2 separate regions of the Mus musculus genome follow, and region 1 is reported to be linked to region 2. The links are microRNA targets in miRTarBase. Many come from high-throughput screens and were not tested one by one. Region 2 holds a microRNA gene; the other region holds the end of a gene's coding sequence.

The links. The annotated mature microRNA mmu-miR-344d-3p reads GAUAUAACCACUGCCAGACUGA and lies in region 2 at 2,095-2,116, opposite strand. An mRNA with a match to its seed (bases 2 to 7 or 8) in the 3' UTR can be bound and repressed. Matches are read on the target gene's strand: a 7mer-m8 pairs with bases 2 to 8, a 7mer-A1 pairs with bases 2 to 7 and ends in A, and an 8mer does both.
Region 1: the mRNA of Cxxc5 is a reported target of mmu-miR-344d-3p. Seed matches in the 3' UTR shown: 7mer-A1 at 2,661-2,667.

Annotation. Positions count from the first base shown.
Region 1 is chr18:35,860,098-35,863,507 of GRCm38, reverse strand. Cxxc5 (CXXC finger 5) reads right to left here. Exons shown (of 3, transcript NM_001357458.1): 3 at 1,815-2,858. The coding sequence ends at 2,814. Among named protein-coding and RNA genes, the nearest start is that of Gm41693, 11 kb to the left of the region's middle.
Region 2 is chr7:61,683,185-61,686,594 of GRCm38, forward strand. Mir344d-2 (microRNA 344d-2) reads right to left here and starts at 2,167; the gene lies at 2,088-2,167. It overlaps Mir344d-1 (microRNA 344d-1), which reads right to left and starts at 8; the gene lies at 1-8.

The DNA.
Region 1 (3,410 bases), not on the chromosome of region 2:
TTTGGATTCCCAAAGTTCTGGCATCAGGGAAATGTAATCACCTTATTAGGATGTTTTGTTTCAGACAGGGCTGTTCTCCTGTCTCAGCCTTCACAGCTGGGATTACTGGTTTGGGCCACCAGAGCTGGCCCAAATATATATTTAACCTCTATGTATGTGTGCGCTTATGTGCTGGTGAATGAAGTGGCCAGAAGAGGGCGCTGGATCCTCTGGAGCTGGAGTTACAGGTGGTTGTGAGCTTCACACGCTGGGAAACAAACTCTAGTCCTTTGTGAGAGCACCAAGTACTCTTAGCAGAGACTCATCTCTTCGGGCTGGTGAATAGTTATAAAGTAGCAGTCGCCCTCGACCACTGCTCAGGATGCACCAAGCCTGGCCTTCATGATGGCGGTTTCTCCTTGACCATCCACGGGGAGAGTATCACTTCCCAGGGCAAGGCTTGGCTTGGCAGCAACCCGTTCCCTTTGCTTCCCTCAGAAACAGTCTGGCTAGTGTCCACCTCACAGTGCCCTTGGGTACATCAAGAGGCAGGAACTCAAAAGTGAGGGGCTCTGGACCTTGGCTTTCTGCACTGTGGGGTGGGCTACGGCCGAGTCACAACATCCCCTTCCCATTAAGGCTGGCACTAGAGCCACCCACCCCACCCCTGGAGATGTGCCAGAGGGCTGGCCTAGGCCATCTGCAGTCTGTGTGCTGCCAGCAAAGGCCTCCAGCCCAGTGCCCCCTGCTGGCCAGGCTCCCCACTCCCTCTGAAGCCCTCCCTTCTCCTGAGGTTCTGGAGATGCAGGTTTGCCTTGTGCTGCAATGAGGGTGCCCCCAGCTGTAACACCCCCCACTCCCTGCTGGACACCCCCCTTTTGCAGAGCCGCCTGGAGAGATCACAGGCAGCCACATGAAAGGGAATTTTCCCAGGCAGGGATGGAGTTGAAAGCTACCTCCCCCGCCCCTGCCTACCCCTGCTGTGCCAGGCCAGGCTGCTGAGCCCTTGGTGCTCCAAGGGAGCCTGTGACACAGGGAAAGGGTTGGGGTCAGGATCCCTCCTCCCTGCTCCCCCCTCCCTCTTCCAGGAACAATAGCAGACAGCCCATCTCTCCCACTTCACCACCCACTCAGCTCCAGAAGCCCCACCTTGCTTTGTTCTGAAAGCCTTCACCCACCTGAAACCTTGTCAGGAAGTCCTTCTGCAAGTCTAGCTTCCATCTCTGCCAGGCTCAGAGCAGATGAGGGGAAGGGGAAGAGCACTCCTCTAGTGGTTGGCAAGGCCTTATCCTTCAGGTTGGCCTCTAGGATGTGTGAAAAGCAGCATCCGAACCACACACCTGTCTGTTACAGTCACCCTGGCCTAGACCATGGGCTCTGTAAGGATTTCCCCAGATGGCGGCTGGCTTCTGAGGTTCTAGACCGCCCCTTACCAACCAACCCTCTGGAGGTCAGAGCAGGCAGTGCACTTCTTAAAATCAGGCTGGAATGGAAGGGATCCAAGACCAGGCATTAGAGGGCACAGCTGCATTCCAGAAACCCAGGGGAAAACTGTGTGGGTGGCTAGGTGTGTGGGAGATGGCTGCCCCGCAAAAGGACCCAAGTAGTCCAGGCCCACTCCAATAGCACAGTCTGCCTGGCAATGGTCAGGTTAAAGAGCTAGGAGCTGGGACGCACCAACCCTTCCATACACAACGGGTTCCGTGCTGTTTCCAGGATGCCTGTTCCAGCTCTCACCCTACCTCCTGGGTCCAAAGGCTTCTCCTTCCCAAGAGACTCTAGCCAGCCCCAGCCCCAAGCCAGCCCCCCAAAACCCAAGAGCAAGAAGCCAGGAGTGTTATCATGACACAAACATGCATTCAGTTTTATTCACAAAACAGCCTGGTCTCCTAAAACAATACAAACAGCATGTTCCTCAGCAGGGAGCTGGCCACGGGCAGGGGGCCCCCTGGGCACCCACCCCTACCAGCAGGGGACCACGCAGAGAAGCCCTTTCTTCTGCTGCTGCGAGCAAGGCTGAGAAAAGAGGGCTTATTTTCTCTAAGGGAAGTAGCCAGGATCAGAAATACTGAGATGTGGGCTCTCCAGATCTCAGTGGATCAACAAATGAATAGAATTTTCATCTCTCCAAAATCCATCACTGTTGGGGTAGGGGGAATCCCAATCAGGGGACGATGGGGTGCAACATGGTCGGGCCTGGGTCAGGAACTCCCAGTCCCAGTGGGCTCTGGCCCCTCTGCACACATGGATGGATACAGAGGGGCTTCTACACGGTGCCACCACCTATTCCTTTATAAACGTGAATGGATTCTCCAGGCAAACTATGCACTATTTCATGGTTGGAAAGAATCAAAGGAAGTTTAAAATGAGAGTGGAGTTAAAACTGTGCTAAATTACAGTAGTGCTTATTAGTAACTAGATTGCAAAAGGTTACAGAAAATTTACATTCTCTACACAAAAACAGCATCTCCCGCACAGACAACATTGACATTGACATTGACACAGGAAGGAGACTGATTGTCCATTCTTTGCCCAGGAAGTCTCGGTACTTTATAGATTCGTCTTTACCTCTCTTGTTGTTGTTGATGTTCTTCTGAAAAAGCAGTTAAAATTTTTTTTCTTTTCTTTTTCTTTTTATACTAGGGACGTGGAGATGTTAAAACGACAACAAAAAATATATATATATAAAAACAGGAATGAAATCTGTGAGAGAATATTTTTGGTTCTAAAGACGGGTGCATCCGTTTGTCTTCGCCCGAATCCCTTGCCGGAGACCACGCGGGCAGTGACATTGCACGGAGAGGGCAGCTTTGGGTTCCCGGCCGTCACTGAAATCACTGAAACCACCGGAAGGCGGCTCCCGACGGAAGCATCACCTTCTGGCGGGGCGGGAGACAAAAACAAGGAGAGAGTTCAGTCAGGGTCCCGGTGGGCCTGGTGCAAGATGCTCCCCGTGGCCGGCTCAATGACGGAGGGACGGGCATGGAGAACGCACGGGCAGTTACCCCGAAGAGTTCCGGTCATCTCGGCCAGGCCAGGTTGGCCAAAGGAGGAGCCATGACCCAGCTGGGCTACCCAAAGGCCCAGAGCACCCAGAGGCCTCCTGAGCCACTCAGATGCCCAAAGGCACCTAGCACCAGGTGGCCATCGTTTACCTGGGGCCACAGCTGCGTTCTGGCAAGTGAGTGTGAGCACTGCTGTGTGCATGTGGCGGGGAAGCAGCCAAGTCTATGATGAGGAGGCCTACAGGGCAGGTGTACACATGGGTGTCCACCCTGGAGTGGGTGTGCCTTGGTGTGCTGGTAGGTAAGCAAGACACATGAGAGAGAGGCAGGCTGCGGTCAGAAAGGTGGCCAAAAGGCCACGACTAGGATGCCTTTCCAACCATTATGGAGTCAAGCCACTTTGCAAGGAGTGGAGACGAGTGGGCA
Region 2 (3,410 bases):
TGACTGATGAAATCTTCCCCTGCAGACAAATTTATTTGCTCTCCTTGCTTCTGATTGATGGAGAATGTGTATTCAAATAGAGAATGATATCAGACCCAATCAGGAGAGAGATCTCATTTCTAGGCATGAACATCAAATGCTGCTGTAACCTTGGAGATCTCCATCCATGCTGCTGATTCATAGCTCAAGCACATCACCCTGGTTTCCCCAAAGAAAGCAGAAAAATGGATAGTGGATGGCAGACAAACCTTCTCTCTACACAAACCAACAGAAATACAAGATAGTGGAACGTTAAGTATGTTCTGATTTTTGGATTCATCTGCCTAAATTTAAGCTCTTTGTGGGAGTTCCCCTGCTTTTTTCAAGCCTTTCTGACTGTTTATTATCTTGAAATTTTGCTGCCTGCTGAATAATCGTGATGTGCCTGTATCTTCTTCCCCTATTGCTTCTGTTTTATGTTCTGATTGTAACCTTTCCTAGTACAATAATGTTTAATAGTGTATTCTCAGAGAGGATTTGGAATCCTAACTTCAATATTCTGCCCATACTATGCTTCCTAAATACTCAATTTTCATGAAATGCTCAAGTGTCTCAAAAAATCTGAACAATATTAAATGAAATTCAGTGTTGAAAACAATATTTATATGCTGTGATTATGTAAAACAAAACATTGTGTGTAGGAAAATATAATGTGTAGTTTGAAAGAAGACATGCCATTTTCTGATGCATATAGAGATTAATGTGATTTCTACTGTCAGGAATATATTATTCAAAATAATACTGGTTCATGAATATCCAGAATATATAACAGAGGCCTGCTCTCTAAAATCAGAATGAAAATAATTAGAAATCTTAGGACTCAAGATATCTACGAGTACAAGATCACAATGAAAATTACTGTATCCATTTCTTCCTTTATATTGCGTTTTAACCAGCTGGAGATGATCTGGACATGATCTATTGATTTCTGTAAAGGGTTCCGGATTCTAAAGAGCTGTTATATAGCAAAGAACTGATGTGGAAGAATATCAGCCAAGAAAATCTAGTAAAGGACAAGAGCAATAACAAAATAACAAAATAAACAACTGTCTCTTTTTTCCCCCACCCGGCAACTGTCTCTTATATATATATAGAGAGAGAGTATTAAGTGTAATCTAGAGTTGAAAACATTGTTCATGGACTGTAGATAATCAAAACCATATGTAAAGTGAAGTAAAAATTAAAGTGTGCTCATGAAGAGGACAGAGATTATTTTGATGTACATACAATTGTAATTCGTTTACTACTGTAAAGATTATCTGAAAAAAAAAGTAATACATTTCAGAAATGTCAAGGATATACAACAGTGACCTGGACTCTTAAGACAGATTCGAAATAACAGAAAAAAAATATAGGTCTCAAAGGAGTCACTAGTACAAGTTCCCCATGAAAATTTCTGTGCTCATTTCATTTCTATAGTGTATATAATACCAAGGTGGAGATCTTCAGGAGATGGATGATATATTGATTTCCCTAAAGGACCCATGACTCTCTTGAACATATAGTTAGTAATGAAGTGGCTTGGAAGAACATACATGCTCAAGATTCTAGTATATTAAATATAAAATAACACTATAAACAATGTTTCAATTGTTGAATATTCATACCATAAATAAAAACCTGCTGCCAGAATCACTGCCCTAAGGATGCTTAGTTCCTGAGTAAGGTAGTATCTGTGTCTATTAGTTACATCAAGATTTTTCAGAGACTCCATGGTGGTATGTAGCAGGCATTTGCTTCCACAGCACTTCTCACAGTGTCTAACCTAAGTTTGTGAAAATGTGAAAATTTTTCTTAGTCTCTGTCACAAGCTGAGATTGAATCTTGTATCTTCTTTGCAGAAGACATATTCCAGCATGACTGAGAAAAGTGTGTCATTCTCCAAATCTCCCATAGAGATTCTCCGAATCTCCCATAGAGCGACAGCTACAATACAAAACGACCAAAGCAATCAGTGCATTGAGGCTCTGAAATAAACAAGCACAGGCTTTGATGATTTCACTGGCGCTGTCTGCTGACAGTGACACAAGCACTCTCCCTTCTCTTTAGCACCATTCAGTCTGGCAGTGGTTATATCCAGGACCAGATAAGTCCTGGAATATAGCCAGCAACCAGACTAATGAAATCTTCCCTGGCAGACAAATTTATTTGCTCTCCTTGCTTCTGATTGATTGAGAATGTGTATTCAAATAGAGAATTGAATCAGATCCAATCAGGAGAGAAATCCCATATGTAGACATGGACATCAAGTCCTGCTGAATACTTGGAGCTCTCCGTCAGTGCTGATTCATACCTCACTGGCTCCTCTCTGGCTTCCTGGAAGGAAGCAGGGCTATTAAAAGCAGAGGGTAAAAAATGTTTTAAACATATTCATTCTACACTGACAAACATAAAAAAAAGTCACTGTGACTTTGGAAATCTTCCTATTTCTGGCTCCTTCTTCCTAGCTTTAAGTTATTTGCCAGAGATTCTCAGTTTCCTTTTCACCTGACTGTCTATCTTACAATTTTTTGCTGCCTGCTCACCCATTGTGATGTGCCTTTGTTTCCTTATCCAAATTATCTGTTGTATGCTCAGTGCATGGCTGTTCCTTGATAATTTAATGTTTATATTATATTTTCATGCTTCCACAAAGAGTTATTTTAATACTAAATTTAGTATTCTGCCCATGCCCTACTCCACCTGTACTCAGTTTGTATGAAATGCTGCAGTGTCACATAAATCTGAAAAATATTTCATTCAACTCAATTTTCAAAACTGTGTTAATATGCTGTGGTTATTGACACTCAAATATGGTATATGTGGAACTTTTAATGTGTGGATTTTCTATTCTATTTTTTTTTATTTTCATAGGCTATTTTCTTAACTTATTGGTTATCCTCCATTCCCCTTTTTTCACACAGTAACCCCTTCTCCAATACTCCACCCCTCTGTTTCTATGAGGGTGTTCTCCCACCCACCCATCAAAAATCCACCTCCCTGCATTTACATTCCCATATACTGAGGCATTGAGTCTTTTCAGGGCCAAGGTATTCTTCCCCTATTGATGCCTGACAAGACCATCCTTTGCTACATATGAGCCATGGGTCCCTACATGTATACTCTTTGGTGGGTGGTTTAGTACCTGGGAGCTCTGGAGCAGTTTGGTTGGTTGATATTGTTGTTCTTCCTATGGGGTTTCAATTCCTTAATGTGTGGTTTTAAAGAGGTCAGGGAATTTTCTGACACATATAAAGCTCTAATGTGATTTCTACTGTCAGGAATACATTAATCTAAGCAATACAGTATCAGAAATATCCAGGATATATAACAGAGACCTGATCTCTAAAGACAGAAAGAAAATAGCATTAAATCTTAAGACTCACAGTATC